4 linked regions of the Drosophila melanogaster genome follow. The protein of the gene in region 4 interacts with the protein of the main gene of each other region in a pairwise test. Each region holds a gene or a part of one and is shown on either strand. Other genes may lie near its edges.

Evidence for each region.
Region 1: the proteins of Abcd3 (region 4) and Bet1 interact in a two-hybrid assay, tested with the Drosophila melanogaster proteins (one large-scale study listed by BioGRID).
Region 2: the proteins of Abcd3 (region 4) and CG15212 interact in a two-hybrid assay, tested with the Drosophila melanogaster proteins (one large-scale study listed by BioGRID).
Region 3: the proteins of Abcd3 (region 4) and Obp57c interact in a two-hybrid assay, tested with the Drosophila melanogaster proteins (one large-scale study listed by BioGRID).

What each region holds. Positions count from the first base shown.
Region 1 is NT_037436.4:19,259,473-19,267,705, reverse strand, and holds Bet1 (blocked early in transport 1), read right to left. Parts: upstream 6,313-8,233; 5' UTR 6,051-6,312; intron 5,994-6,050; 5' UTR 5,957-5,993; coding exon 5,603-5,956; 3' UTR 5,269-5,602; downstream 1-5,268. Other genes in the region: Aldh7A1 (aldehyde dehydrogenase 7 family member A1), read left to right, coding at 1-869; CG45081 (uncharacterized protein), read right to left, coding at 1,349-1,627; Mettl5 (methyltransferase like 5), read right to left, coding at 959-1,112, 2,263-2,750; CG42374 (uncharacterized protein), read right to left, coding at 2,762-3,025, 3,084-3,209; Max, read left to right, coding at 3,681-3,725, 3,801-3,866, 4,182-4,289, 4,499-4,622, 4,688-4,830; nes (nessy), read left to right, coding at 7,483-7,591, 8,138-8,233.
Region 2 is NT_037436.4:5,128,219-5,135,884, reverse strand, and holds CG15212 (uncharacterized protein), read right to left. Parts: upstream 4,341-7,666; 5' UTR 4,282-4,340; coding exon 4,264-4,281; intron 4,126-4,263; coding exon 3,952-4,125; 3' UTR 3,758-3,951; downstream 1-3,757. Other genes in the region: CG10674 (uncharacterized protein), read left to right, coding at 1-45; Yod1 deubiquitinase, read right to left, coding at 451-1,494; CG15213 (uncharacterized protein), read left to right, coding at 2,740-2,757, 2,817-2,987; CG4597 (uncharacterized protein), read right to left, coding at 5,645-6,262, 6,319-6,378.
Region 3 is NT_033778.4:20,498,576-20,506,364, reverse strand, and holds Obp57c (Odorant-binding protein 57c), read right to left. Parts: upstream 2,782-7,789; 5' UTR 2,699-2,781; coding exon 2,645-2,698; intron 2,583-2,644; coding exon 2,187-2,582; 3' UTR 2,163-2,186; downstream 1-2,162. Other genes in the region: Obp57a (Odorant-binding protein 57a), read right to left, coding at 636-1,082, 1,134-1,196; Obp57b (Odorant-binding protein 57b), read right to left, coding at 1,611-1,973, 2,037-2,099. UniProt on the Drosophila melanogaster protein: Present in the aqueous fluid surrounding olfactory sensory dendrites and are thought to aid in the capture and transport of hydrophobic odorants into and through this fluid.
Region 4 is NC_004354.4:19,747,216-19,756,859, reverse strand, and holds the start of Abcd3 (ATP binding cassette subfamily D member 3), read right to left. Parts: upstream 6,091-9,644; 5' UTR 5,723-6,090; exon of another isoform or gene 5,513-5,722; 5' UTR 5,427-5,512; coding exon 5,314-5,426; intron 1,990-5,313; exon of another isoform or gene 1,557-1,989; coding exon of another isoform or gene 1,516-1,556; intron 431-1,515; coding exon 318-430; intron 249-317; coding exon 58-248; intron 1-57. Other genes in the region: Alr (augmenter of liver regeneration), read right to left, coding at 7,009-7,171, 7,231-7,472, 7,552-7,947; parvin, read right to left, coding at 8,990-9,610.

The sequences.
Region 1 (8,233 bases), on a different chromosome or scaffold from region 4:
CCGATGTTGGTCAGACCTTGGTGGCTGATAAGAGAGTTAACCTCGTTTCCTTCACCGGCAGCTGCCAAACTGGTCGGGATGTGGGTGTTGAAGTGCAGCGCAGATTCGGCAAGGTGATCCTCGAGCTAGGCGGCAATAATGCCCTAATCATCGATGAATCTGCCAACGTGAAGATGGCCCTGGACGCCGCACTTTTCGGCTGCATTGGCACCAGTGGTCAAAGATGCACCACCACCAGGAGGATTATTGTCCACGAAAAGCTGCACGATCAGTTCGTAAAGGAGCTGGTTGGTAAATATAAGCAGCTAATTTCCAAGATTGGACACCAGCTCGAAGCTCAAACTCTGGTGGGTCCCGTGCACACGCAACAAAACGTGGAGAACTACAAGGCGGCCATCGCGGAAGCGAAATCCTTAGGAGGAACGGTGGCCTTCGGAGGTAATGTCATCCAGCGGGATGGTTTTTACGTAGAGCCCACAGTGATCACTGGATTGCCGCACGATGCCAGCGTTGTCCATCGCGAAACCTTTGCACCAATTGTGTACATCCTCAAAGCCAAAAACGTGGACCAGGCCATCGAATGGAACAATGAGGTGGAACAGGGCTTATCCTCTGCCATTTTCACGGAGAACATCGGGCAGGCGTTCAAGTGGATTGGAGCCAAGGGTTCCGATTGCGGTATAGTTAACATCAACACCACCACCAACGGCGCCGAGATTGGTGGAGCTTTCGGAGGCGAAAAAGCCACTGGAGGAGGTCGCGAGTCCGGATCCGATGCCTGGAAGCAGTATTGCAAGCGGGCCACCATTACAGTCAATCACTCCGGAGAATTGGCCTGCGCCCAGGGTGTTGTCTTCAATGTGGAGTAGAAAACACATACGATCAATTTTAATGTGCTACAATTTACAATACTATTACATATAATGTCCAAAACTAAATGCAACTGATATAATTCTTCCTATTCCGTGCCGATTTCAAAGCGCCAGAAGTCCACCTCAATATCCTTCGACTTCTGCTTGTGAAACTTGTAGCTGGCGTCGATGTTGTACCGGAGTTCGGCGACCACTGAGCCGCGGGCGCCCCATTCCAGTGCCTTTTTCTGAATGTACGACCTGCGAACAATTAAAATCGATATTTAAATTGGCTTTGATGTACTATTCCACAGTTGTTTAGGCTTGGCTATTCTTCCATAAAAAACAGGAAGGGGTCGAATAATAAGATACCCTTTTAATTAAAGAACTCATCGTTTTAATATGAGTAGCATATATATTTTAAAATATTTAATTTCCATAATTTCTCACTAAAATCTAAACTATTGATGGAACGTGCTGCATCTTATCCACATACTTTATGTGTAAAGCAGCTGCAGGCAGTTGGGACCGCTGCGGCAGCAACCACCCCCGCAGACAGGAACCACTGCATCTCTGGGAATGCGGCGGCAAAGGCTGGGCGGACCGCGGTAGTCTCTTCGGAAGCACAGTCTCTCGCACACTGTCCCGCCAGCGGACACTCGAATGGGGGTGAGACGGCATTGGCCGCTGCCCAGGATTTGCGCATCAGTGGGCATGGGGGCCAGAAGAATCGCCAGCACCACAGTGATGATTAGAAGGCTACGTGAGAGGATCATCTTGCTGCTGACTTCTAGTTGCTATCTGTAACTTGTTGGTGTTTCTGCGGCGTTTTATAGTTGTGAGCAGCGCTCTTAACAAAACAACAACAAAAGCAGAAACAGCGGTAAGGAAGCACATTTACCGAAAAGCGGGTACAATTGTATCTCTTGTTTACTGTGCCAATAACAAAAGATTGCGCATCTGTTTATACCAGCAGATATTCTTAAAGTATAAATCTGCATATGTACATTCATATGCCGAATATTGAGTATCAATATATTTTAAAATATATACCTATATATAGACCAGTAAGCATACTACTTGAGTATCTGTTTAACCAAGAGATCTACACTATTAAACAAGAGAGAATGGTATAACCAAGATTTCGAATATCAGATACGCCGCTCATCTAGAGGGATTGCTAGAGAGGAATTCCAAATTTTGTTTAGATATGGATAGAAATTGTAAAGGAAATAAGATAAGTTATATCAAAAGATTTTTTCAAAACGTTGGTTATACACGGCTGGTAATCCTAATTAAAAATATACTTTGTAAAGCGGAAATCGCTTCCCTCTACCTGTTACATTCTTTGCAAGAAAACTTAAGTTTTCCTCTACGAATATCGATTATAATCAATTTTATACAGACTTACCGTGTTGACGTCTTGTGTAGGGAGTAAACTGCTCTGTTGGCCAACCGTAGGGCCACCTCCAGAAACCGCATGTCCATGCCGGCATTGTGTTTCGTGCCGAATGGGGGATTCATCAGCACCGTGTCAAAGGACTTCTCCCACTTGCTGCCGATCAGCTGCAGCACATCCGCCCGCACGCAGTCAACATTGGGTAGCTCCATCTCCACCACATTGCCCCTAAAGGTGTCCACGGCATCGCCGTCCAGTTCGAAGCCCACCGTGAGCTGGGCGCCCAGCAGAGTGGAAGCAATGCTGAGCATTCCGCAGCCGCAGCCCAAATCTCCCACCAGCTTTCCCTCGATGTCCTCGTGCTGCGACTGCATGTGATGAGCCATGCACGCGGCTATGTGCGGCGGAGTGGGGTACTGTTCCAACAGGATCTTGGGCTGCTCGAAACCGTCAACGCCCTGCAGGTACTCCTCCAGTTTCCTCAGCTTCAACCGGGCCATTGTGGATCCGGCTATTTGCTGATACTGTGGCTGGGCGGAGCGTTCGGAGTAGTGGGCGTGGTCGCAGGCGACGGCAGCGGCTCCAGACGAGGCAGCACGGGTATAAAGCTATTTCCAAAATACGAATCCTGAGGTATAAAGAAGCCCAAAGTCGTAGAGCTCGTTGGATTAAATGCAGAGCGGGCGGTGGATGTGGCATTGGTGGCAATGCCCACGCCCGCCTGGAAGTCTGGATTCACTGTCGTCGGCTGTCCCAGCAACTGGGGTGCGGGCATCTACGATAGAAGACCAGGTAAACACATTTTCCGATCGGCATGTTCCCAACGAACTCACCTGGTTCGGCGGACTCAGACCAAGGTTTATGATCCCGCCCGCGAGCAACTGCTTCTTCGTCTGGATCTCTTCGAGTATCTTGCGGTTCGTCTCGGCTTGCTGGGCACTTGTGGTGGGAAAAGCCATCAAATAAACTAGTAAAAGTCTGAACTATATCAAAAACTTCTTGTAGACTGCTGCTCCTGCCGCTGCCTTTGGCATTTTGCGAGCAGTGTGGTCACACTGGCGAGTACTGTAGTGTGGCGGAAATAGTAGCGGTATTCGAACTGAACCAAATGTGCGAATAAACAAAAAATCTGCAACAAACAAGAGTGTTAAGCGAATATTGAATTTGTGCTTAATATATATATAATTTGTATTTAATACAAATCAAATATTAATAATATTGGTGACCTTTTGGTGCCACTTAAGTTTGAAGTATTATTAGCATTCCTCTATTTGGTCACTCTGCAAGTCTTACAACGTGAGCAGACAACAACAAAATTACATGTTTATTTGGAATAATCACAAAAAACAAAAAACTTACCAACTTAGTGGAATAATCTTAGGAAATATCTATTAATTTGCGCGCAATCCGTGCAAAACAAGTGAAGCAACATGAGTATGAGCGACGACGACCGCGACATAGACATCGAAAGTGACGTAAGCAAGGCGTAGAGGAAAATACTGATACGTGTGTTTAATATTGATTTTAATGCCAAATTAACGACTTTTTAGGAGGACGGGGACTCGGACACTGGCTTGGGATCCTCGCGACACACAAACACCGCCAATTTCACCCAGGTGACTATCCATCATGCATAAACTGAGTGGGAAAAAGCGACTGCGCACATTGCCTTTTGTTGATAAACAGAACGCACACGTGTTGTTGTTGCTGTTACAGAATCGTGATTACGATACAGCAGAGTTCACAGCAATAGGATTCGTAATCGAAAATAATCTTAGAGGGACTGAATATATTATATATTACTATTTACTAACTTATCTTTCTGTTCATATTGCTTTGAGACCATTTTGTTCCATTTTTGTTATTATTTCCATACTCTGCTGTATTTACGATGGAATTTCCTATATGCTAATTTTAATGTTTGTTTCAAGGCCGAAAAGCGGGCGCACCACAACGCTTTGGAGCGAAGGCGGCGCGATCACATCAAGGAGAGCTTCACCAACCTGCGTGAGGCGGTGCCCACACTCAAGGGCGAAAAGGTAATCCAGAAGAGCAACAGGTGACACAGCCGGGCTCATTTTCTGCCAAGAAAATCCCATAAGTCCATACCAGTTCGTTTTACAATAAACTACATTATTGCTTGTCAAATTAAGCAAATCGCATAAAATATATTAAAAAAATCCACACCCTGTGTGATGAAGCTAATAAGAAGTAGTAATAAGTTAATAATACATATCTTTTGTTACAGGCGAGTCGAGCTCAAATCCTGAAAAAGACCACCGAATGCATACAGACGATGAGGCGGAAGATCAGTGAAAACCAGAAAGACATCGAAGAGATCAAGAGGCAAAACAACATAATAGCTAAGCAGAGTGAGCAACTAACTACTACAGGTTATTAATGAACTTCCTGCTAAGATACTTTATATACTTTCCAGTACAAGCACTGGAGAGTTCAAATGGGGATCAGTTCAGCGAATTTCTCAGCGACGAGGAAGTGGGCAGCGAGGAGGCCGACGACGAAGACCTCGACCAGGACTTCAGTAGACGCAATAAAAAGATGAAGACCTTCCACGCATAGCCGCTGATCCAATCCAAAGTGCTGCTTACAGGCGTGTTCCGGCTTCCGTTTTCACCGACATTCTGAATTCTTACGTGGATTTAGTTCAACTTTGAGTTGTGTTATACGAAAGCAATAGCCCTCGAAAAGTTGTGAAGGAAACGGTTCCAAATTCGAATTAAAGTGAAAATTAAAATTATGTGGAAATGAGAACAGTAACAAGTCCGATAATCATAATCATCATTAGCTGTAAGCCCAAAATGTAACCCACCCAATCGACCTTAATTTGTATGCGTGCGTCTTTTCTACTTTCAACAAATTGTCACTCTGTGCGCAAAGAATAAAGTAAACTAGTAAGTACATATTTTTAGAAAAAAACAGGGGCTTCTTGTTGATGAATTCTATTATGGAAATTGGAAAATATAACGGACCAATTGAGTAACATGAGTGCTGCTTTTGAAGAAGTTTATAAATGATAAAAGGATTGACATTTTATGCGATTAGGGCTAAATAAAATCAGCAATTTTTGCAAGTAATTTGATCACTTGATACTGGAACCTTCCCTTATTTATATCTGGAATCTCCTTTTGCTTATTACTCGAGAACTATAAAGAACGAGCTGAAAAAACTTTAACGTACGTATCTGTCTTTCTAATATTGGTTTGAACTTAAGAAATATATTTAACTTTATGGTTTTAAGCCAAAAGTGAACCGCATTCCGAACCAAATACAACCTTCGACTACACTAAACCATACAAATATGTGGGTATATATTTTATAAAATTACCAACAACTACTTAAACTTTAGGGTTATCCAGAGGATTAAGAACACGACGAGGATGAAGAGGAACATGTAGCACATTTGGCGAGCACCACCGCCCTGTTTGGCCAGTCGCACCACCCGCGTCATCGCGTTGCCCAGAAATCCACTCGTCCGGTCCATGTCGTCGTCGATGCCGCGCAGCAGCTTGTCCTGGTAGCGCACCTCATTGCCTATATCGATGGTGAGGGACTTCAGGGCCCCGATCTTCTGCTTCAACTCCTCCGCCGCCTGCTCGTTTTCCGCCTCCAAGGCGTCGTGGCTCGCAGGATGGGGCCCTGAAGGGTGCTGGTTTAGGGGCTGGTACGGGTAGTTGTTGCGGCGCATACTGCTCCCCGAGTGTGCCAGTTTGGCATCCGGATTGCTGCGGATCGGGTGAATTTAACGAAATTAATTAATTATAAATTAATACAATGCTCACAAATCTCAGTTTTCGAAGTGACACGTAAACGTAAACATGTAATCTCACCCAGCGGCAGAACAGCTGTTGGGATATACGCTTCTTGGCTCAACCTTTGTGGTTGACTGTGCATTGACCCTTGACCTCGTGTTGTGATTTCCAGAATCGGTTGACTAATGCCTCTACTTATTAAACGAAACTTTTTAAATTCTCATGCAATTCAATTTTTAGTCGCCGAGCAGTGTGACCAAAGCGGAGTAGCAAAATTATTCCGTAGCAATGCGTGTGGCAGAGATTACGATTTTCAATTAACCCATTGCTTGCCAATACGCTTTTAATATCGTAAGTTCTTTCTATAAGTTTCCAAAACTTACTATATATATATATATATATTGTTTTAAGATTTCATAAAAATTTGATTAGGGAAATCGGGACAGACAACGAGACAGTCGGCGGTCGGCAAAAATTCACCTCCAAATAACTAAAAAATAAATAAATAAAAATCGTCCCCATGTTCAAAATTCCACAGTTTCACCATCGCCGCTAAAAAAAAATTTGTATTATATTTAGGTGTTCATTAAAATATGGTACGTACAGTTATTATTACACATATTATGTGTAAGAATTATTAGTTTATTATATATAATGCAAAAACAATATTAGTTTAATATTAATTAAATAGTAATTAGGCAATTCAAACATTATTTGTAATTATTTCAAATAAAATAAATAAAATATATTCATAAAAATATGGGACATATGTAAAATATGTCAAAGAATTATTTAATAACAATGCATAAAATACTGTTATTAGCAGTTCGTTTTAATATGCAAACAAATTTAATCAAATATAAATAAAGCATGTTTTTAGTAGATAGTAAAAACATATATGGTTATATGTGGATCCTAAGTACTACTTTTAAATGTTAGAAACAGTGGGTTAATCCGTGTGCCTATTACTGTTAGAGTCGGGTAATTTCCGTGCTCTCGCCTACGGCCACACTGCTCCAGTGTTAGTAACTTAACTTTAGGTAATTTTGGCCATAATTTGGCATGCCGCTCTCGATTTTGTTGCTCCCGCTCGCTTTCATCAACTGGCCGTGAAATCAATAAGCATAAAATATTCAAGTTCGTGCGGTGGCAAGTGCGTCATTATCGAGTTCACTGGTTCGCCGAGATAATGCGACCTTTGCATTTGAATTTTCATTGACCCTGACCAAGTGCACTCGTTTGTTGTTGCTGTTGCTCTTCCTCTTTTCTTAATCAGCCTCCCCCTTGCCCCTTGACGCACTCCTTTGATGATCAAAAAACAATCAGTTTGCGTAATATGCGCCAATGACAACAGCAACAATTACGGCGTGATAAGGACTGGAGCGCAATAACCCAGCGAATCCGAATCACGCGAGTAGAGTTCACTGATAGCACTGCAACTCTTTTCTCTTCTAGATTTAGCATGGCGGAATTCGAGGAGGACTTGCCCCACAATGGCCTGATGGACGGGATCGCCTCGGGAGTGGGCGTTCCCGTGGAGGCACTCCGGCTGCTACTCACCATTCTGGCAGGTAAGATGCCCCAGCAGCAGTGCTTTTTGGTAGGGACACTGAATACTCGAAGTATCTTAAAGTCAAGTGATTAAGTTAAGATATTTTCTCCGGATATTTATATCCGCATATCACGCAAATTCATTGCACATATACGTTATACATATGTTTGCACAGGTGTTTATAAATTATGTACCTATCATTGAAGACTGTGTTATTTTTGATTTTTTTTTTGTCAGTGGTCATATACAACTTGCATGGTTTTAATTGAAATGTATCGTTAAATGAACTTTTTCACAAACTGCTTAGTAACAATAAGATTTAATGCTTAACAATGTTCCTAAATAAATTACAAACCCCTTTAAAATTTTACCATGACTCCCAAAATTCCATAAAAATGTGACTCATTCCTATTAGATAGGAATTTGATTACAGTCAGGCTATGCAAAAACGTTAACTAAACGTGAAAGAATCGTTGAAGCTTCCAAATTAGTTGAAAATGTTTACTACATGATTTAAACTTTGTATTGCTAAATCAATCCAACTAATGTATATAATTTGTTTCAGGTTATCCGGTGGCAGCATTATATCAAAAATTTATTTCTGTTATTGCCGATAAAACAGTGCATCACATGTTCTTTGCTGGATGCGGCGCTGGATTGT
Region 2 (7,666 bases), on a different chromosome or scaffold from region 4:
TACCTCCAGAATCCCGCTGCCATGACCCCACCATGGGCTTCCTAGCACTGGACCTAAGATAACTATTTTAAATTTAATGTAATTGAACAGTTGAGAGCCTCGGTTTTGTTCGACGCTCAGTAAAAAAGTACGTACGTAGTTGGTTGCCTTGTGAATTCAGGACAGCTTTCTGGAACTTGACCTTATAGCTATATAGGTACCAACTCCAAGACTTGCCTAGTGTAGATGAAGGTATATTTTATTGCATTCCGAAAGGGATTAAAAGGGGACTAACATGAATACAGGCGGCTGGGCTCAATTCAATAATTAATAACTTAGGTAGGCGGTGATGTGGAGGTAGTACTGCTAATGAGATGACTCCTCGCACGGCGATTGTGGCTAGGTGGTGAGCAGGTAGTAGGCGAACAGCATGAATGCCACAATGTAGACGGTGCCGAAGATCAGGACGTATTAAATCTCTCCAAAGTTCTTGTGTCCGGTTTGCTTGGCATGCTCCTGGGCCTGCACCTGGCCGACCAGCCTGACATCGCACTGCATGCAGCGCAGCGTGAATTTATCCACATTGGTGTATTGGCGGGAGGACTGCGCCTCGTTGGCCAACTGCTCGGCCTGCTGATAGACGCCCAGCTCTTCCACCGGGAAGATGGTGGCCGGCGCAGCACTCGGCGATGTCTCCATGTACAGCGGATCGTAGTGGATGCCATCGAAGAGCAGGAAGACACGCAGTCCAAAGTTCTTGTCCTCGCCAAAGCGATTGATAATGGCGTTTTGTATGTCCACCACATCGATCTCAATGCCATAGTAGTTGGACAGTATGGACACTTCGATGGCGCCGCCCCACGAATCCGCCTTCTGTATCCAGGCGCAGTACTCGGCATTCGATTTGCCCAGCACGGCGTCGTTGTAGCTCTGCGGATCGGCGGCCACCTCCTGCGCAATGATGTGACGCATCATTTCGCTGCCCTCGTTGTCCACCTTCCCGTTGAGCACGAATCGTATGCTGGTGAAGAGGCACGAATTGTCCGCCGGCACCACCTTCTTCAGCAGTATGCCATTAAAGTCGCCATTCGGTCCGCTTTCCGTCGGCGCCACTGGCAGCTGGTAGTCTGCTGCCTGGGCGACTGGACCGCCAGCGGTTTCCTGCAGCAGCTGTGCCTCCTCCTCGGCCTGCAGACGACGCGCCAGCGCCTCGTCATCCTCCACGGTGGTGCCGCCAGGCACAGGGGCAGCAGGAGCAGGGGCAGCCTTCTCCTCCACAATCAGCGTCTCTCCGCTGTTGATTCCGACCGCCTTGAGGGCGCGCTGCTCCTGCTGCTGCGAGAGATCCAATGGCTTGGGCGGATAGCCTACTAGGACGTGCAATTGCGTCGCTTCGATGTCGGTGGCCTGGACTATTTTCGTTTTCAGCTCCCCCAGCGTCGTATGCTCGTTCAGGTCGTTGACAATGAATTGACCTTTTTTGGACTTGAGCTTCACACTGAACGAACCCGTCATTGTATCCGTTTGTTCTCTTCGTGTGGGCCTGCGATGGAAATTGGGCTAATTTTGAGTTGGTTTTTGTGTGCAATTGGATAACTGATAAATTTTGTAATTTGACTAATTTGTTTCTTTTTTTTTATTTGTTTGTTACAGCGTATCGATGCTATCGAATTTCGATATCTGTTGGTATTTTTTGTGCTTTAATATATAATTATAATCGATTAGTGCAGTGAGTAATGTTGTTGGCGAGGCCAATCGATTTTTTGTTCTCTTGCAAACTTTTTGATAAGAGTGGCAGCACTGGAAAATTGGCGCTATTTATTTAAATTTTCAAAAGTGGGAAAATCAAAGAGGAGATTTATGTATTTTCCTCTTTTCTACTCCATTTTGTAAATCTTGATTGATAATTATGGAAAGCAAATCTTAATTAAAATGTAAACACATTTAATTATAAGAATAAAATTACTTCGATTTTACAGATTTTAGCTTGGATGTGAAATATTTAGAAATTTACAAATAACTCTACATTCGACTTTTAATTTACTCAATGCAGCTAATTTCGAAAAGTTGGCAGGTCGGCATTTTCAAACCGCCTGCTTAAATTTAAATCTCAAAATCTTATCAATTTTGCGCAATGGGTTATTCGCCGTCTGCCAGCATACACACTTAAAAATATAACTATATTCGGATAATTCAGCTACTCTAGCCTATTATGGAGGTGTGAACGAAAAGCTAATGGCTGATCTGAACGTTAAGGCCAATGTCAAGTTGCTAATTAATATTTAGCAGAGATTCCGCTCGCAGCTAATGGCCAAGTCAAATAGAACCCAGAACCAAGGAAACACCGATTAGCAAAAAGAAGTGAAGCCGGAGAAACCGCAAGTCAACAAATTGCCCAAACATAAGGCGTCGCAAGTTCAACAATGGCACCACAATAAGGTAATCTACTTGGCTACGAAAAAGGGAACCTGGCTTTTGTTATCACATTGCGTGTTGGACTAAAATCACTTTTAATAGTCCAAACAGATTGATATACCACCCCGCCCGCCGACATGTGAATCACTGAATCTTTGGCTGATGCTTCGCGTTGTTTTAGTTTCTATGAAAGACGAGCGGTCTGCCGGCCGAGCAACTCACTCTCAACTGAACAGGCATATAAATAGACGGGTCGGCGGGGTCTGGTGATCAGTGCAAGCAGGTCTGTCAACGCGCAGTGCGAATCCATCGATCGATTACTACATACATCTAGCCACATACAACATGAAGTTCTTGCTCCTGGTGCGTCACTAAAAATCGACACGGAATACCAAGGAACTTTACTGACCCTTCCTTTACAGAGCGTCTTCCTTTGCCTTGCCGTGTGCTTCATGGCCACCAGTGCTGCTCCTCGCGAGGAGGCCATTCCCGATGGCTTCGAAGGTCCTGGCAGTGAGTCCGTCAACCCATCCGACGACCAATCCTTCCTGCTCAAGCTGAAGCTGCTCAAGAAGCTGCTGTTCCTGGGCTAGACACCACACCCTCACATTTATGGATTTATAGTTTAACTTAACATGTGTTTAGGTTTTTAAGAAGAAAAACAAGAGTGAAATTAAAGAAAGTATTTGGTAACGAAACCTTTACTTATTCATTTTTTATTGCAAGGTTAAAACAAAATGGTGCCCAAAAAAAAAACAAGTTCGCTTCTTAAGTCTTTTGTTTGAAGAGGTCCAACCTTCAATTCCAAATAATTTTCTTTTTTTACGATCACATTAAAATCATTCCTAATACTACTAATACACCTGAATGTTAAAATTTATGGTAAGTTGAAAGGCTGGAACCATGTGCTTCAACTTGATGGCAATCATGTCCGATTTTTCGTGACCAGCTCTCAATATGTCAATATGTGATGAGTTATCGTTACTTTTTACATAATTTTGATACTTGAAAATATTTAATATATTATATTTAGTTAAGCTATAATATTACTGGCATATCAAGTTAACTAATCATGCCAATTAATGAAAGTAGGTATGATCATTAATCTCACAGTGGGCTCCTTGTATTAGCACATCATTGAACCCACTTGATTCATTTACGACTGAGATTGGCCAATATTTATACGCATGTAAGGAAGATTCCGTTCGCTTTTCACACTCTCTACCCAGAAACGATCCGAAACGGGTTTCTTATTCAGATCTAGGCAAACAAAAACCCGACCCGCTGCCAGTCATTAGCTCCTTTTTGGACACACATGGAGATCTCATCCCCGACGCTTCGATGATATAAGAAAAGCCGACGTGTATGAAAATAACATTTATTTTAGTTACGATTACGTATACTTTACTCGTATGTATGTGCTTTTGTGTGTGTTTGTGTGTTTGTGCTTATTGGGTATTGTCTAAACAAAACGGTTTGAAAATCGAATGTAGTGGGGGAGGCAAGGTTCCCAATTGGCTGGACTAGAATCTGAACGAAGCTTATTGCGAATTTCTCCTAACCCAGGAGCTTCTTCAACTTGAGCAGCTTCTTCAGCTTGAAGATGGCCTGCGGATCCTGGGGACGCTGGACATCGTCGAAGGCAGGCTGGTAGATATTATCGCCGATCAGGGACTCATCCACGGGCACGGCAGAAATGAGGGCGATGGCCATAAGGCACACGAAAATGGTCTGAAAAATGTGAATTACAATAGATTTTTAGTACAAATTGAAAATTTAATATACTTCAACAAACAACTTCATATGTTGCACTTAATTGGAAATCATTTAATCCAATTATTAATCCAAATGTTATATCCAAATACTCACCAGAGCTAGGTACTTCATGATTGCTGCTGCTGGGGAGATGATTACGCTGATTAATCCAAATATCGACTGCACATGGCTCCATCTGGCATCAGGCCTTTTTATAGCCAAACTTTTGGGTGACCATCGATGATAATGTCATGTGTAAACTGCAGTTTGCAATGAAGAAGAGGACAAATGAACGATACATAAACAAAAGAGTCTCGCATAAATAAGACGGTAAGCGAAAAAGAAGTATAAACAGAAAAACCTGGCCAAAAGCAGACGATTCAAGGGGCGTGGCATGTTGAGGCAGGTGCTTTGTTTTTTTTTTTTTTCGGGCCAATTTTTTCGGCAGCGGGACCGAGCAGCAAAACCAGGCTGCCCTGTTTACTTGGTGGTGGCATCTTTTGTTTGCTTCGCTAAGCCACTGAAGAAGTTGATCGTTGATTAAATAATAATCAGACTGGGTAAATGAAGACATCGACAAATGAAGGTCACCTCAAATGCGGTCAGCGGAGTAATATTTAAACAAAACCCGGAAGAAGGCGGAAATTGTAATGCCAGGCAGTTTAATTGCTAATTCAGTGTATCTAGAGCCCCTCGATCACCCAATTCAAATGGTAAGTTAATCTGAAGTTCAAGATCCAATGATCGAATGATCAGTGGTCAAGCCAATTAAAATATAAATTATCACTTGAGCAGAGGATCCATAAATATTTGACACTTTGAACAGCTGTCAGGCCTGTAGAGTGGAATACTAAATCAATAAAAGTTAAGCTAAACGACGGAACCATTTTGGGCTGGGCGATGGTATAAAAACCAACATATGATTGGTACGGAGGCCAAGTGTTTTTTTTGCCCAGTCATCGTGCAAGTATTGATGATGCTGACGACGATCTTGCAGCTGAAAACCGGAAACATTCGCCCTGCTCTAAATATGTAAATAACGAACTTTCGAGAATGCCGCCACAATGTCAACGCAGCTCAAAAAAACATTCCACAGTTTGTACTCCACAAAAACAAATACGTGTCGAATGGATATCACAAACAAAGTTTACCATGACAACAAATTAAAAGATTGGATTGAATGGATATCTTTGAGTTAGTCTTTGTCGTCGGCTTGTCTCGCGCGGTTTAAATTCATGTTTGATATATTTCCCATGCCCCTGGGTTTTTTAATTAACATTTATGGGCGTGGCTGTAACATGTGCGATATGTCTCAATCCCGGCGAATTTTTAGTGGGAGATAATAAATTTTATTACGCACCCGAAACTCGGTGATAGATGGTACTATTTTGCAGAAAATGTGTAAAAATTGTTTTTTTGGGTGAAAAAATTTAGCAAAAAAGGGAGAGGCTCCATGTATAATATATTTGAAAAAATTTAAGTTACAAAAATTACATTATTCGTAATCGTTTGATACTTCCGAACTATCCTCTTTCGACTGAGTAACCTCTGTACTTGCTTCTTCGGTTTTCTCTACTGGCTTCTCAGTCGCTTTATTTTCCTCGCTATTTTTAAACAGCGATGGTTCCGTGTATCCAGGTGGTGTCTTAATGGAAAACTTGATTCTGCATGAAATCAGCTTCATAACTTCCTCGTAGACTTGTATCAGCTCAAAAAGTACCATGTATCTGCCATCGGGAATGCGGAAAGGAACCAGTTTGGAATCAATAACGCCATTCTCAACAAAATAGAAGCCTGGAACCAAAGGACATGAGACAACAAAAGTCGAGGGCAAAAGGCTTTCGCCCGGAATTTCCTCCACTGTAATATTGCGAAGTGAATCGAGGAGCTTGCAGAGATCCTTGTTCGTCATGCGAATCAGATCGAAGTAGTTCGAACCACCAACTTGATCTGACAGCTTCCTTACGAAAATGTGGATGAGAAGCTTGCCAGGAAAGGGCACTTGAACTGTGAGATTCACATTGATTTTCTCATAGTCGACAATGTCATACTCCGCGAACATATCATCTGGTACAAAAGATTTGACATAAAAGTGCTCAAGCCGCAGTCTGATCTGCTTAAGAAGTAGTACTTTATGTATTAAAATTATGGTTTATTTAAATAACTCACACTGTGCACTTGAAGAGCTCCTAAACATGAAAATAAAGCTAAACTTTGCAGAGGCCACATTGTTTAATGCTCGGATGATTGGATTCATTCAAAATAACTGACCGAAAATTGCCGACATTTGGTAACTGGGAAATTAGCTTGTTTAGTCAGGCCACGTTAACTGGACTAATGACATTGTTTCAGCCCGATTCTTATCTATCAAAGCCCCAGCTCTATGAGCAAACGGTGCGAATGCGTAATGTGGTAGGTACACCCACATGTTAACACGGCGTATGCGCAATGAACAAACTTACAGCGTTAAATATTTTCAAATCAACTTTGTGATGAGTGTTTACCAACTAGTTGCTGATATACGAGTCTAACTTGGCGAACTTAACGTCGCATCTATCAAGACGATAACCATAAAACCTGATCCCAGTTGCGAATTCGGTGGCCAACTGATGAACTTGAACCAAAAAGCATGAACGGGTAACTACTGGGAAAAACAGCAAAAGTTTACCATGTAAACGGGCATAAATTGTGCCGCCGGAAAGCAAGGCGAACAAAAGTCTCGGATAAATCATACCAAACAAAATGTATGTATGCCAGTGGACCATAAATTTCGAGCATTTTTATTGCAATTTGCTTGTTTGTACCAAAAACAAGTGCAAACAGTGCCAACAACAACACAACAACAACAACAACAACAACGTAAAGCCGAAAGGCTGCCTTAAGCCGCAAACTACAGTGAAAGTGACGTAATGCGATGCTACCAACAACAATAGCTGGCTAAAAAAAAAAAATATGTATAAAAACCATTAAACAACGACAACAAAGTACAGAGAAAAGCAACTGAGCAAACGGTCAGCAAAAAAAAAATGTCAATGTCTTTTACAACGAAGAAGCAGCAGTAGCAACAACAACATCACCAGTTGACCAAATGGTAAGGGGGTGTGAAGGGGATGGTCTTGGGCGGCTTAAAGGGGGTGTACATAGTGGATAAAGGGGGAACAGAGATAGCAAACATGGCGCAAAAAGTGTACTTTGTTTGCATATGTCTGACCTTTTGCATCGCACTCGGCACGTGTTGCGACTATCGAAAGAGGGCAGGTGACTAAAACGAAAGGAAAATTTAAGTGCTCACAGGTGGGTATAACAAATGTTATTGGGTCTTACCAAAAAACGTTTAAATATTAAAAAAAATATATATATTTATTTAAATTTTAATAGAATTGCATTGAACTGTATCACGATCGCATCTCTAATGCAAAGTCGCATCGCATATAAAAAAATGCACATGCATCGGATGTCGGCTTACATTTTATTTACCTCTCTGCTTTATCGTTTTCTTCGCCATACGTATACTTTA
Region 3 (7,789 bases), on a different chromosome or scaffold from region 4:
CGGCGGGCGTTAAGTTGAGCTGACAATCGAAAGGCGAGAGGTGGCAGAGCGGACCAGTCAAGTGTGTGGGCGTTGCACGCTCGTCTTTTCTTTCAGCCGATGCCTAGCCCTGATCCCGATCCCCGAAGCCTCAGCTCCACGAAATAACAATGGCAGCGGCATCAACAGCAGCTGCAACAATGCAACATGACAACTTCCGTTGCATTCGCCTGCCGGCACAAAGGAAAGCGACAAAAAGTCGCACACAAATAAACACTCATACGCCCCGTGGAAAACTGTAACGGAATCGCATTGTGTGTGGGGAAAATGTTTTTTCCTGCTCGGGAACGACAAAAAATCACACACACACACACACACACAAATCGGAGGCAGGTCCTGAGAAATATGGAAAGATTCTATTCACGGCATCAGATTGTAGGAATTTACCTGATTTGCAACGAATCAATTATTATTGTTATGTGTTAACCTGCTGCGTGATTCCAGGTCAAAGCAATTAATTGGATTCCATTCGGATCGGTTTGATTTAATTCAAGCGCCCTGCGGCACGCCTCGTGCAATTTTAATTAATTATGCTAATAAGCCCGCAAATTAAAATGATTATATATTACTGTGACTATGGCGACATTGTTTTGATTTTATAAATCGATGGTATCGTAATCAAACAGATCCGCCTGCTGTTCAGCTATTAGTCCAGCGGTTTCCTCTTGTATTTGTTCATATGAATCGAACTTGATGACTGAATGTCCGGATTTGAATGCACATATTACCAATTTATAGACGTAGGCACAGGTTTCTTGGGGAGCCTTCTCCATGCACTTTGATATGGATACCGCTGTCTCACTGGTTGCTTTCATTGATTTCAGATCGACTTCACCCCGAGCATTTAGCCATTTGGTTGGCTCTCTTTCCAGTTGACACTTAATGTTGCACTTGTGCTTCAGTTCGACATTTTCCTTGAGGACATTATCCAAATTGTCGGTATCGTCAAACTTCTCATACTCTTCAATGGTAATATTATTGATTCTCAGACAATCAATAAAATCGTCATAGGTTCCTTCGAAAAAGTCAAAGGGTTGGCTTTCCTAAAATGTATTTATTTGTAAATCAAATATATTTTAGTTCGTGTATCTAACCTTAGCTTGGCTAAGCGAAACAACGATAAGAAGCAAAAAAATGGCAAGTCTAGTGTTGAACATTGTTAACTTCAGACTGAACAGCTTAAAATCAATTTTCCACTTATTTAACACAATTGCCATTGAGTTGATAGACCTGTTATTCAGAATAGTGCCTGAGTATTTTTAATTTCATGAGATTGTAAATCAATCATTGGTAGGGTCATAAGCTAAGCGTCTATATTTTCCCTCGGTTTTATGTACCCATAATTTAAGATCATTTGATTTATGCGACAACTTTTTGTTACACTTAAAATTAATTACTCGTTTCGAATAAGCTCTAATAAAAATTACGTGGCACGCCTATTTGACTGGTGTTAAGTACATACTAGATCTACAATCTCTACAAATCACTCGTTTGAAATAGTAAAACTTATGTGAGTTATGTGTGGAAATTGTAGTACTTTGATTGTTTCCATATATTTAAATTATTGACATTTATTCCGAATCAATTACGGGATGGCCAGCCTTAAATGCACACATCACCAGTCTAAAACTGTACGCACAAAGTTCTTCGGGAGCCTTCTCCATGCACTTGGTAATGGATTTGGATGCCTTATCGGTCGTATTCATCAAATCCAAATCCATTCTGCCTTGAGCATTCAACCATTTCGTTGAATCCCTTTCCAGCTGACATTTAATATTGCACTTGTACCTCAAGTCGACTTTCTCGTTGAGCAGGTAATCCAAAGTTTCGTGTCGCGCGTATTTCTCATATTCTCCTATGGTAATATTATTAACTTGTAGACACTCCTGAAAGTCTTGCCAATTCCAATGAAATATATCAAAGGGGTGGCGAGCCTATATATTGTAGTTTGTTGAAAATAAATCAAAAGCTTAGTCAAATATAAATATCAATCCCACCTTGGCCAAGCTGAACAATAACAAAATCAGAGGCGCAATAAATACAAGTCTGTAGATGAACATTGTAGAAATGAAACTAAACAGTTGCTTGTGAATTTCCCGCTGGCATAAAACAATTGCGATTAAGTTGCTTGACCAGTTTTAGACCGATTATTCGTTTAATTTGTTTGTATTTTTACCCGCTTCGGTGACCTCATCGCTCTGCTCGAAGCTTTCAGTTAGACAAGTCACCATCTTAAACGCATATTCGCAATGATCTTCTTCCTCATCGTAGATTTTCTTGCAATCGTAGAGTATCTCTCGCAGTTCATCGCTCACGGGCTCAATTTGATCAATTTTATCCACATCCAAATAGCCATTGGTATCCAAAAGATTTCCCTTCTCCGCTAGGCAATGGATGAAGCATTTGTATCTTCTGTCGGTATTCTCGAGGTCATCCTCTTCGGAGCTGTTGCGATCGATGAGTTCCTGGAATTCAGCCTGGCTGATGTTATTGCTGGCCAGGCAATCTGACACGTAATTGGTTTCCTCCAGAAGTGAGAGACTCTATAATAAAAACCATACTTTCCAATTAACTGCCATATGAAACAGACCTCAGATGTGATTACCTGTATGGAGACCACGCTGACAGTCAAGATACATATTAGCCATAGCTTAAGCATTATCTAACGATTCGCAGAATCTGTTTCAAGATAAATATGGACATGGGTTTTCCTAGCACAGTAGCACCTCACGATAAACTGTTACTCGCAGAAAGGCGGTTCTGAATTTTATACACACTGGCTTGTGGCTAATTTATGGCGTCTAGCTTATCTGTATCTAGTTAGCTAGTTAATTGCGATCAACTGGTTACTGTACACAATATGAGCCAGTTGGAAGTACGATCTGTCGTGCATTTAATTGAGTCTCAAAACTCGGAACTGAATCAGCTTGCATTGAGCTCGAATCCAATGATTGATTTTCATTGGCAATTATATACTCTTACAATTTTTAAAGGCCGGCCACCAAAGCTTTTCCGGCAAAACTAAACACACACACTGTGCAAAGTTGCACGTAAATTTCATTTTATACGCAGTGAAATTCGCATAACATTTCCTGTCAACATATTTTGCAACACTTTTGTTGCAAAAATGAAGCGACAACTGCAGCGGCAGGAGCAACACAAAGCGACAAATTGCGTTGACAGTGGGTGGAAAAGGGGGTTTTAGTTTGGAATGGTTTGGTTTGGTTTGACTACAGTTTTTTTTTTTTTTTTTTTTTTTTTTGGAGAAAAGACATTCCTAACTATGCAACCCCATGCAACTGTAGACAACAAATGAAAATTCCAAGAATATTCACATTCGCAGTGAGTTTTGGCTTTTGCGGCCGGGACTTTGTCTGCTCTTTTCCAGCGACCTCCTGCTCCGCCAAACCGCTTGTCGCGTTGTTTACTTTGGTTATTTACGGCCTGAACAATTTTTTTCTTATTTTTGCCCTCTTTCTTTTCACGCTGCATACTTTGGACGGTTGCCAAAAAGGAAATATGTGTTGGGGAAAATTACAAATTTTTATGGTCATAGCTAGGTGCTAAACTGTGTCCTCGGCTGACCCAGCCTGTCGCTTCTAGTCCTGTCAAGTCCTGCTGCATAATTGCGATGCCATTTTGCCTATTTCTCAGCCCATCAATTTTTGAGGTTTTATGAAAATTTGGCATTTTCGCGAAACACGATATCGCTGTTATGGGTTTATTAGGGCGAAATTTGATTTCGTTGGACGCTAATTAGTCCTATGAAATGTTTCTGGGTCGATAAGCAGTAGGCATAATTCACAGGTCGACATGCACAATGGAAATGTGAAATAATGCGGATGTTCGAATCGAAATCAGATTTAATGGATTTCATAAATTTGGCATTATTTCTGCCTAATGGTAATTGAATATCAAACTTTTTGAAATTTAATGAGCCCACGCAAAAATTATAAGTATTGAACCTTCACTTCAGTAAAGTTTCAATGAAGGTTAACAAGAAAAAACTCTGACTTTCCTCTGACAGCTACTGCCATTTATTAAACATGTCAGGGGGAGCTGGTGTAGTTTTCTTTCCCTATTTTTCCCTCTTTTTCAGCTGTTGCCGCTGATACCTTTCCGGAAAAGTTGCCACAACAAAAGGAGAACTAGTAAAAAAAAAATATGTGTAAAAAGTTCTGGCTGCTTTGCGTAATAAAAATAAATAGTAAGTGACTTCAATATGCATGTCACGTATTTTGCATGCACTTTGATGCCACGCCCACCCCAACAAAAGCCCGCCCAAATACATTTTGGCACGTGCAGCAACACAATGGAATTTCTGGAAAAATGCGTAAAATGTTAAGGGATGTCGGTGGCGTAGCCATTGCATAACCGAAGCATCTTCTGCAACTGAGCCGAGACTTTGACTTCGCCAAGAAATTGCAACAAATTAATGAACGAACCAGAATCCCGCAGCTTGCCAACGACAATGACCAGGTTTCCCACGTTCGTTTCAGTATAGAGAACCACTAAGTAGTATACATTTATCAATTAGTTCGAAATGGAGAGCAGCATAGTCAGCTGCCAAGTTCATAGCATTGCCAGTTAGGTGCCGTTCTCGACGAAACCACTGGGGTGTGAATCGCTTCTCCAAGACAAACAAAGTCCGGGAAGTGGGTTCACATCCTGGAAGATGCAAGGGCCACGCAGCAAAAGGAGCAGAGGAGCAAAGGAGCTCCGCGCTCGAGACAGCTGCATCTTTGGCCAGCGGCAAAGCGAAGTGAAAAGCGGAGCAGAGCAAGGCAAACCCACTTCCCCGGCGGTAATTACAAAATTTTTAATTAAATGTTAAGCGTGGGATGGACGACTTTAAGCGCTCATAACCGAGAATGGGCACGCCGCGGAGCTTTAATTCGCAGTCCCGGTGGCGACAATGAATACGGCTTGACTCCCAGATGAGTACTGTTTATGTCGGACTTTCGCCAGTTTTTCACAGCTCTCGGTGAGATTTGCACGGCTCACTGCATTCGGTGGCAATTTTCCCACCCAAGCAAATGAACCTACACGTGATATAGTTCATGAGATCCATATAGTATGTTAAATAAAGAAAGCCGTTTTATTAGAGAATCCTGTGCTAAGAAATTGTTTTTAAATTAATATAATATTAACATAAATATATTAATATGAAATAGATGGTATATTGACTTTAAACTGCAATTCATTTTTAAATATTTTTCTGTAGTCTTGCTTCTGTTGCGCTGCTAGTATTTTTTACAACTTTCATTATTCCAATTCCATTTCCCGCTAACAAAAGGGTGCCAAATCTTCGTATATAAATTGAAGGTCCAATTTTTTTTTGGCAGCAATCTGGGGGCTTAAAGTTGGAGCTTAGAGCTAGCTCGTGTGCGAATAGTTTTGGCGTATTTTCAGAGGATGCGAAGGGCGAATGGAAGAGAAAGCGTTTGGCTAACTAAAAATAAACCGAGTGTTAAACGTGGCTTACACACTGGCCATTTTTATTGCCAGGCTGGTCCGTCAGCCGTGAATAATCGCATTAGTTGTGAAATTAAAAATTACAAAATAGAATAGATAAATCCGCCCACGGCTGGCTGGTTGACTATCTAGCTGGCTTGAGGTAAGCCTTTTGTTGGCCCAAAGGCAGAACTATTAACTGACCCCCTTCTCCGTTGTGTGCCACATACACATAAATTCGATTAAAACGTCCTTTTTTATGTTTGTGAGCGTGTGTGTCCATGGACTTACTGCTAATTGAATTGCCGAGTCGAAAGAGAATTAGTTAAGCCAGTTTGAGGGTTAATGTGCTGGAAGTGACCCCCGATGTATCCAACGGGGTCAAGGGTGGGTTGCCGACTTTTTTAAGGGGGCGGAGAGCTCATTATTCTCGAGCAGGTTACCATATCCCTTTGAACTGACAACCTGGGGCACTTACGTATGGTTTTTTTTGTTGCCTACTTTTCAGGGCGGACGCCTCAGCTTTTGAGCCAATGTCCTTGAGGAATGTTCAATTGTATATAAATATCTTTGCAATGGTGGTGTTCCTTTACGCTATGCATATTTTATTCACAGCCGTTGACCAAGATGTCACAATTGTGATGACGTCAATGCCAAGTCCTGGTGTAAATTTAAATCCAATCTCATGGCAACGAAGAGGCAATGCCGGCAAAAAGATGAAGAGAAAATGAAGAAGTGAAATCAATTTCTTTTGTGTGTCGTTTGAAAGGCTTCAAATGATTTTCAATTGTTGCTGCATTGACAATTCACCAAATCGAAGTAGTATATTTTTCTCTCCACTCAATAAATACAAGGATATTGACTTTGTCCGTACGAGCTTCATAATCGGATTTTCGTGTTAAATGATTCTATTCCATGGCTTTTATGCGCCTTGCGCTGCCATTGGGTTCAACTTCGACTGCACGGGTTCAATAAACATTCGCACAGGTGACTGCCTGCATTGTGTATTAAATTCCAACACTTAACCCCCTTGACTGCAACTGTCTGCCGAGTTCGCTGGCATGGGTTAAACAGCACTAGACGGCGACTCATTACTTGAGTGCTAAAATGGGTGACTGCTTTTGCTGCTGTTGCTGCTGCTGCCTTTTTGTGGCAATTTTTGAGTGCGCTTTCTACAGTTTTTAACTTGAAACAACAACAGTGAGTCAAGTCCTTCTCATGGTCCTCGTCATTTTTCTTCCACTCGCTTCCTGCTCCCCGCATCCTCGATCCCCGAGCCATGCTGCTCCTGCTGCTGCTGCAGCAGGTGCATGCTGCTGCCCCGTTTTGTTTGCGGCAAAGTGCGCACCGAGCGTCATTGATGCTGACGTTGATGTTGCTCTAGCTGTTGCTGCTGCTGCTGCTGTTGTAGCTGTAGCTGCTGTTGTTGTTGTTGTCGTCAAGCTGCCACTTGTCACATGGCAACAGTTTAGTTTTCCACACACACGCACACCCACACAGCCACCCGCAATTCAAGCCCCCACCACACGGCCACCCACACACTCTCAAGTGAGTGCAAGTGCCGGCTCAAGTTGCACTCTTACATGCAGCAAACGGAAATCAACGCAGAGCGCCCAGTCGTCGGGCCAAATGAATAGAGAAGCTCCACCAACTCAGCCCACAAGTCCCCCCCCCCCCCCTCCACCCTCGGCACTCGTCCATCGTCTGTGGCAGTCAAAGGTCGCCGTTTATGTTGTCGAGCTGCTTTCCGGCCCAAAGATGTGGGTCTTTTGGAACTTTGGTAAGCATTAAAAAAGGCTAACAAATAATATTAAATATTCAAACAAATATTTATATTTACATTAAAATCTCTATATGAAGAAGTATATTTTTTGGATGTGTATAGTGCTTGTACACGGTATCAGATAGTCCGGACCCGCCTCGCACGGCGTCGGCATTGTTTTTTTGTACTGTGCCACTTTTCGTTGCTTTCCGGCTGGCTGCCTCCGTCCGCTCGACTGGCTCATGTCGAAAGGTCATTGGAACAGTAAACGGACTGCAAGCCCACTTCCTGCCGGCAACATGCCACATAATATAGTATGGTATGCTTGCAAATAAAATTGGTCACTTTTGCAATCCACACTCGAGCCAATTTTGAGTGCAGACAAGCCGCAAGCAATTTGGACCCCTTTTCCCAGCTACTCATTTGTGTGCATTCTTAATAATTTTGTTATTTTCGGCAGCATCTGGATCTTAAGTCCGAGAAATTGTGTACGTAATTTGTGGAAATATTAGAAAAATCCCAGGAAGGAGCTAC
Region 4 (9,644 bases):
AGCAACGCGAAGCTAGAACTATTCGTTGTGTGGGTAAATCGCATTAGTATCCCATACCGCTGGCAGAGCTGTCAGGTATTTGAGCAGCGCCGTCTTGAACTTGGTGCGATTCATGTGTATGATGGTGCTCTCCACCACCGTCGCGTTCTGGATCATCCAGATGTCGCTCACCGAGCGGCCAATCAGTGCGGCGGCCACCAGGAAGAGCAGTCCGGTCTCCACGCTCCAGAAGCCGGGAATGAGGATGGCTGCAAGGGAAGGGAAGGTTGCACGTGATCCGAGAGACTGCTAAAGGATCTCTATGAGGATCTACTTACGGAGTAGCTGGCGGAGCTGTTTGAAGAATACTGAGTTAACGTGCGCCTTTCCCGCCTTCTTATCCTTCTTCTCGGCAATTGTGTACTGGATCTTGTCCTCATAGCCGGGTTTTCTGCAATGAAGATAGCATATTAAAAGTGTTTGTAACTAAGCTATATGTCGTTTGAAGCAATAAAATATGAGAGAAATTAATAACTCTATTAGTTGGCCGTATTTACAAAGGTTCTTTCTGTTTGCCCTCTATAGATATATAGATATAATAATACATATGTTTGATCTTTGTGGATGGCAGACAATTGGACTGCTCAAAATCTCCATTGAGTGCTAATGGATTTGGGTTATGGCTCAATAAACTTAATAATAAATTAAAACTCGTACAGCAGTTATGAAAAATGTTGATAAGAGGAGTGGTCTTATCATTCCAAAACTGTTTTTAGCCAACGATGTTGTGCAGTTTCGATCATTGGCCAGGCAAATGTGCAACGTTGATGGCAAATTTATGAAATAAATCACAATAATTAAACTCCCTGTTTGGATAGCCAATTTGAATAGCAACCTTTGCCTTTTTATAGCAAGTCGCGCTATCATCGGCGCCGCAAATAAAGAACGAACTTCGTGTTTAGTGTCTCCATAAAGTCGCTTATTTGCAATGAAGGTGTGCGATTAAATCCAACAATTAAGACGCCGGGATGAGCCATGACTTTTCACACCACCGCACTTCATTAGGTTGGTTAATGACAAATAGATAAATACAAAAAAATAAAAAAACGACTCGATCATCGTTCGTACTTTTTACAATCCGGTAAATTATTCACATGAAGCCTGCTAAATTTTGCGTGCGTTAACAAATCGTCACTCTAAATATTCGATTCGTTTGATAAACAAACATTTAGCCCGTCTATGCAGCAATACTGCAAGCGAAGTCGCTGTGAGCAAAGTACTCAATATTGTGCAGATATATGTAGAAACTTTTCCAAACAAGATGCCATGGAATCGATCAATAAATCAGTTGGCTAACTTTTTAAGTCCACCATTTAACGTGCGTAATTCACAAAATGTTTCGACTAATTAGCCGATCGATAAGTTTTATCAATTAAAACGATTATAATTTCCAAAAAAAAAAAAAAACATAAAATATTTATTTTAGATTGCATGGAAATTCGGCTAAATAGTTTAACTATCTCAAACATTACTCACAAGCTATGGGCTTTCGTTATCACTTTTGCTTGAGCGTACATTAAAAAAAAAGCACATTTCCCCAAATTTGCTACATGAAATGCTTCCGAGATAATTTGTTTGAATTCTTTTCAGCTGCTAATCGTTGTGGGATCAAGGTCCGGATGAAAACCGGTGCCCAGAGCTGACCAGCTCAACACAAGCCACTGGGCCATTGGCTAACCGGCATTGGATCGCCAATCGGATCGGATCGGATCGGATCGGATCGTATCGTATCGAATCGGATGGAGTCCAAAATCGCCACCTGCCCAGGGTTCGAAGTCTATGGGATAATGTGGGTGATGAGATGTGAGGTGCTGGTGTTGCTGGTGCTGGTGCTGGTGCTGGTGCTGGTGCTACTGGTATGTTAGGCCAAACAAAGTACAAAGCTCGCGCCTTGGTTATCTGCAGGCTGGAAAAAGCGACGAGTCGTGATGACTTGGTTATTTCTTAAATATCGCTGCGCAGATCACTGAATTATTCATAGCGCTCTTGTATTTATTTCTATATATATATATATATATATATATATATATGTTTCCATCTATCTATCTTTCAATCCGTCTGTGTGTCTGGCTGTCTCTCGTGTGGTTTTCCTTTTTTGATTCGTAGTATATTAAACTTGTTTTCACCGCCTAGACGTGGAACATGTGTTTGGGTCCATAGGTCAACACCGGTGGCTCCCATTGCCATACCCATACCCATTCCCATTCCCATTCCCATTCCGAAATCGCCTGCCCCTGCGATTCATCCAAAGCTCTCTTTCGCTAATCGCCGGCGATCGCCTAATGGGGGGCACATTGAACCCGGGCGCGAGAAGATCGGTTGGCGTCTGACTCAGATAGAGACATTGCCGCGGATTGCAATCAAAGTTCAGTGGTTCTTGTGCCGCATAGCAGCCGCTATCGAGCTAGTTTGTCTGATAAACGCTGGCCAAAATCAGATAGCTCGACACAGCTCGGGCATACTCATCACCTGTTGCCTTGGCTGTTACCTGTAGACCTCAAGACCCGTAGTCAGTCTGCCGGCACTCACACGCTCACTCCACTCCGCTTGCGATGTCTCAGAAGTGAGAGCGAGTGAGCAAGTGAGCGAGCGAGTAAGTGAGTGAGTGAGTGAGTGAGTAAGTGAGTGAGCGGTAGGCAGGCAGGCAGACAGACAGACATACAGGCCTTGGCAACGTGGCATCCGCAACAGGTGCAAATGTCAGAGCTCGGCTGCGAATCTGCATTGAAATTACGATCTCATTTCACGCACCGTCCGAGTAAAGGCGAGAATTATACAAATTACACGATAAATGGCTGCCTTGCGGGGCAATCCGATTATCGAGGGCCAAGCGTTTCCCGGGCACAAGGTCTCTCCATCCATCCGACTCTTCCACTTCCCCATCCGAAAGTCTGGAGCGCGCACAGCCACACAAGCTATTGCGCAACAGCCGGCGGGACGGGCCGGGCGATACAGAATGTGTCTACCTGCGAAAAACAGAGCAAGTTGTACACAAATTAACACCTATACCCCATTACCCATTACCCATCTCGAAGGCAAAGAGCTGGGAATGGGAACGGGAATGCGAATGGAAATGGAAATGGAAAAATGAAACCAGAAGCCACTGGTCCTCTGCGCTTCTCTCCATCCAATGTTGTGGATGGCACGACGCAAGTCATTAAAAGGCACGGCTGTAATGTTTATGCTTTATACCCGGGTGTCATCATGTCATCCATGGAATGGGTGTGTGTGTGTGTGGGTATGGGTACGGACTTGGGTCCGGGTAAGGGGTACAATCGAGTGTTGTTGCAACACCAAAAGCAAACTGCCCACCGGTGGTTGCGTGTTCGATTGCAAGGCAGGCTGCTGGATGTCAAGTCAAAGTGTTTGGACCTTTGGACTAATGAGCTTGGGTGTGTTGTCCAATTGTCCAAACCCTTGATAGATTGCAAAGACATTATTGGCGGTGCTACGAGCTAGCATAACCGTACCATATCAGTTAACAATTCTAGGGCCTGTCCTTGATATGAGGCTATAAAAAAAACACCGATAAAAAAGCGCCTTGAAAGTTGTGCAAGAGGCGTTGCTACTCGGAAACTCGTTGACACATTCGAAAAGTCCCTTTTAAACTTTCAACGTTCTTAATCATTCAGCGATTAGCTCTTGGACTTGAAAGTGAATCATAGAATGAATGAAATTAAATGAAATTATATGAAATGAACCACAAAATTCAACCACTGATTCATATGAAAGCATAATCGAAGTGGAGCTCCACTTGCGAAGCCCATTTGGTTGGTTGGACTGTGGAGTGTCCAGTCACTGCATCCATTGAACCGACTGCACCATCCACTGTGCAAAATTCGAACAATGGAATGGTGCATAAATTTAGCGGCCATCCACAAGTGGCGGCTACCTCGCTCGCAAAAGTTGCATAAAAAAGTAAACAGCGCATTAAAATGCTCGATTTCGATCGCCTGCCAAAGTGCAGTGCACTTCAGAGAAGTTGCTGAAAGTGATGGCCACCGGTTGGGTATCCAACATCGGAGTGCTCGGCATACTCCGAGTACTCGGAGTAATGTTAGCAATTAACGAGTGGCACATGCAGCCACGGCAGATCCCCCACAATCCCATGCGGATGGCTGGCTGGCTGGCTGGCTGGCAATGCAATCACCCACCCACTCCACTTGTCCGCCGCAATCTGTCTAATTAATTGGCTCTGTCATGCAAATAGTCGATTGCGCCCGCTTTACCCGTTCAGTTTATTCAATAAGATGAAATCGACTGATAGCGGTCAATTGCGCGCCGAACCCCGCACACATCGAATATGACCAAATATTGAGCGCGTTAACAACAGCATAATCGGCACGAGTGGCGATAGTGGAATGGGGCATATAGATGAAGTGCTGTAGACTGGCGCGTTGCCGATTAGATTAGCGGCAAAGACCAAGTCCATTCAAACACCGAAACGTGGCCCTTAACCGGGGAATCAAGTCCGCATCGCAGGTGCTCGATGGGGAAATCCTTGAAGCGATACCGCAATGAAGCAGGCCGCCAAGAAGTGGCTATTCGGGTCATAATAGTCGAGGGCGCCGAGAAGGCTTTCCTAATCGAGTTTGCTGTTTGGCCGGAAATGTAGTGCCTATCTGAGTCTACCTTCTGCTAAGTACGCGGAATTCCTCCATTCCTCCCAGACAATATATACATTCAGACCTATCCTAGATATCAGTATATCTACATAATAGGGATAGACTGCAAACAGATCCAGCTACTTTGGTTCACATCTACTTAAATGAATCGATGATCTGTTGACTTTTTTTTTGTATTGGGACTGCACTTAAAAATATCTTTTTGAGAATCTTCAAAACGTAAGCTGGTGGTCGCCAAACTTATTATAAGATTATGGCAATGGGTAACACAATTGAAAAGAACAGTATTTGGAGCTGCAAACGAACTGTCCGGCCCACTGTGCGCGGCTGCTGGACGAATCAATTGAAACCGGACTACAATGAGGGGGAAGTGCATACAGTGTGGCAGAAACGGCCATCGGAAAACCAGTTTTTGCAGTCCGCCAGATGACCCACAATAGTGGCATCGCATCGTATGTCCCGCAAACAAATCTGTTTGTACATAAATACACAGCGATCCAAAACTCAAGTCAATATCACGGACACATCGATGGCCAAGACCGAGACCTTGTGCAATAAGATGTTCGTAGAATATTGCATATTGCACAGGCAACATAAATAACATGGTTGAGCCACAATTATCCGTAATTAAGATCAAGGGGGGGCTTACCGCTTCTTGTTGGACATCTTTCCGTAGGCAATTATCCAGAGGGCCGCCGTCATGCCCGCCACGCCGACGATGGCGCTCTGGTTGTTGGCCAATTTGCTTAGAGCCGGGGCCATTCTGCTATTGCGATGTGGCTACGGATCTCGTTTGGCTTCAAATTGGGCACCTTGTGAATTTTACAATTCGCAATTTCGCGTTCGCACTTCAGTGTTCGATTAACCGCACGTGGGGGGAGGGGGTTTGCACAAGGAAAAAATTAAAAAAAAAAAATTATAATAAATAGTAAGTATGAAAGGGGAACAGACACTATTGTTTATTGCACGGATTTCAATATTTTAATCGGCTGTTTGATGACGACACAACACACAGACATGCACACACACACAGATGGTGGATAGCAGGATGTAAACACCTGGTTGTCGAACAGCCCTGTCTTAGCTTCGTCCTCTCTCGCTCGCACCCTCTCTCTCTTTCAGGGCAACTGCTTCTTCTTCTTCCTGTACTACAACTGGTGGTGGTGATGGTGCTGCTGCTTCTTCCTCCGCTGCTAGTGGCGCTCCTTTTCTGGCCAAAGGGGGTGGGCAAAGTGATTGTCACACACGGCGGGCGCTTTTATTTATTCAATTTGAGCCAGGCGCATTTCTTTGTTTGGTAATTACACTCTACTCAGCTCGACCAAATCGAGAAATCTGACGAAGTGATACGTGCGACGCGCAAAAGCCAGCAGGCAACTAACTGTAGTGCGATGTGCGCTAGTGTTGGCTACCACGACAATGTGCGGGCAGCGGCGCTGCGGGGGCAGCTATTTCGCCGCCAAATCTGGCTATTTCTGAACGAAGAGCTATCGAACAAGTTATCACCGATAATTATGAATCGAAAATATCGTTCATCTAAATTTGAGGTATTAAATATTTTAAATTAGCCAAATTTAAATTTCCCCGCTTAAACTACCTAAACTATTGCTGAGCAATCATGTTATATAAGTAAATCATATAATGGCTTACTCTTACGAAAATTCCACTAATTTTTATATCTCTTATGTTAAGCATATTAAAATGTTAAATGAATAAAATGTTAATGTTTCGTTGATTGCAAAAAAAAATTAAGTTAAATATTAAAAAATATAACCAGAGCAGACAAATTTTAAGACCTTTAGTCCTTTAGGTATTATAGAAAGGAAATCTAAAAACTATATAAGTATCAGCCAAATCCCCTAATTTCGAACCAACTAAGCATTGTATTCCAACTCCGCTTTAGATCTTTCCACTCCCATCTTATCGAAGTGGAAAGCATTTGCCTTCCCCATTCTAATCTAATAAACGCCAGTCGGCAGATTAGAGATTGCGATATCTGCAGGGCCAGTGAGAAGGCATAATACGGGTCCTCAACATAATGTGTATATTCTAATGGAGTTCATAGCCAGCAAATCATTTAACAATGGACCTTCGATGTGTCGCTCTATTACAACATAACTCAATTTAATGTCACGCTGACGCAGGTTCCGACTGGTGGGCATGGCCTCTGGCCAGAAACAGGGCACAGTTTCGGGTTGGCGGCGGTACACCGCCGAGCAGGAGTCCCGTGTTCCGTGGTTGTAGTTGTGGGCCAGCCGAGCAAAATGTGGGACAAAGTCTGGTCAACATGGCAACCTGCAACGGGCGGGAGACGGGGCTTCTCGGCGCTGGTTAGCTGCGGCGCCTAGTCGCAGGAGCCGTCTAGCCAGCCGTCGCGCCACCTCTCGTTCACCTTGGTGCAATCGAAGAGCGGTTTGCCCAGTTTGTCGTTCACTCGGTTGTGGAACTTGCACAGCCACAGTGCTAGCTCCTTTTGGGAGTTCACATTGATGGGGTTGACGTCCAGGCTGCAACAGAGGTCCAGCTAAAGTGTCAGCGTTTTCAAATGGATTGAAGATGCACTTACTCGGTGCGAAAGTCCTTGGCGCAAAACTCGCAGGGGTAAAGGCGCGACAGAACCTCAAAAAAGGTCTTCATGTCGCGCTTCTCGGTGTCCGTGGGGTTGTCCGAGTAAAAGGCGGCCATGGTGTGGAGCAGTCCCCAGGTGGAAATTCCCAGCCTCACCTTGTCCAGCGGGCAGTCGTCGCGGGGCAGCGGATCTTCGGCGGCGTTGACGGTCAGCTTTTCGGCGGCGGCCATGTGCTTCACCTGGAGGAGTATGAAAGTGGGAGATTCTTGTGTTATCGTCCTGCTTGCGAAGGCGAAGTGGCCAACGCGATCACGTCACCTTGGCGCTCTGCACGTTGGAGATGAGGCGTTGCTGCTTGGACCACGACTTGAAATCGTTGCAGGTGCGGCAGTTCGAGTCCTGTTTGCCGGCGCCGCTGGCACCGGCCTTGCGGTTCGCTGCGAATGGGGACTCGTGGTGCTCCTTATCCATCTCGGGATTCGCCTCGGCAGACATGATGAAGTCCGGGTCACGGATCAGGCGGAGAACGGTGCGCTGCAGACGGCGAATTACCAGGCGAGTTGCTTCCCGGCTGAGTTCGATGTGCGTGGGGCTGATGTAGTCGTAGCCGTAGTTGTGGGACTGGCGGCGCAGCAGAAGCGTTGGTGTGGTGGGTAGTTCTAGAATCTTGAAACTTCGCTCGGCTATTGTGAAAATCATAAAAAGCATGCGCATGGTTGCCACCTTGTTTCGAAACGAAACACATAACATTAGGACATATCTGGCTAAGCGGCTTAGTTAAGCGGCTGCAATCAACGCAAGTTACTAAATACTGGCTTTTAGATTCATGGCCAACATCTGGCCAAGGACCAAAATCCGGTCAGCAAAGTAACATTTTCAAATTATACCGGCCAGCAATCGAAAATCGATGCGAAATCGTTCCCGAACGGGAAGCGATCTGGCAGCCTGCTCGCAGCTGTGATCGATACCAGACCGTTGCGAGTTGCGCGCGCAACCGCGACAATTCAAATAGCACAGCGTTCAGAAAATTACTAAGGTTTGTTTCTCAATCAATTCGAGACGCTCGAAAGAACTTACATGTGAATAGGATGGAAGCTGGCGTTTGTGAGTGCTGCAGCCCCAGATAAATTTTGCGCCTTGGAACTGTTTAAAATAGAATAACACATATGCTATTGGCAATATTTATTGATTTTTCTGATCCAAATTTTTAACGTACACAATAAAATTTTTTTTTAAGACTTTTCCGTAAACTTCTACATTTACAGCGTTAAAATCTGATCTGTGACATAATTTGCAAAAGCTCTGTGTGATCTAAAGGCACAATCTCGGTTATTGTGTTCAAATAATGTATTAATACAATAAATTCACTTAGTAACAACTACAACGTCTGGCACGTGAGTAAGACAAGTTAACAACTGGCCGCCGGATTTTGGGTTTGGGTTAGCTCTGCTCTGCTCTGCTCCTTCCTGTTCCGAGCAATCTGAATCTGGAGCAGATCGCAGTGGTTAGACGTACGACACATAAATATATATATATATATATAAACATTCCTTGGGCTGATTATACGCGACGCAGCATTTAGTTGTGGTTTTGAGAGTTAGGATCAGTAAGCTTTAACCGCTGCATCGCCTACAATCAGTTTCGAGAACGCACATAAATTAGGCGTGTAAACACTATCAAAAAGTTAATATAAAATGTAAAATTGGCGCCGCTTGTTGCTCCTGCAACCCGCTGGCTCGTTCCATCCGGGTTTCACTCAGGCGAAGTCCCTGAACATGGTGAACAGGCTGTATAGGACGCGCAGGGTGGACTTGAGGTCCATGTTCACGATGTCCTCCGGCCGCGCCTTTGGTTTGGGCAGGCCCACGTCCTGCATCAGGTCGAAGGCGAAGGCCACGTTGCTGACCATCTGATCCACGTCCTGCGGCGTCAAATGGAACTCGTGCAGCGGCACAAAGAATCCACCGAGCAGGCCCATCAGCAGGCACAGGTATACGCCGTCGCGAAAGTCCGTGTTCAGATCGCTGATCTCAAAGTTCAGCTTGGCCAGGTGCTTGTTCACGAACGTGATCAAGGACTTCTTCACCACGGCCAGCTTGTCCGGCGCACAGTCGATCAGCGTGTCGAAGGCGTCCTTTTCGCAGCGCATGCCCAGGTCGTCGTACTCGGACGTTATCTGCTCCTGGAACTTCTGCGCGTTCAGCACGCCCGCATTCTTCTCCGCAATCACGACGGTCACGAACACGTTCTCTGGCAGGCGAACGGGCGCCCGGAAGTGACGCACCAGTGCCACCAGCAGATGTAATATGGCCACAATGTTCTTCGAGTGCACGCTGGCCACCGACCACTTGGGAATCTTTTGGTGAAAGCCGAGTGTCTGTGGGTGTGGGCAAGGATAAAATTTATTCTTA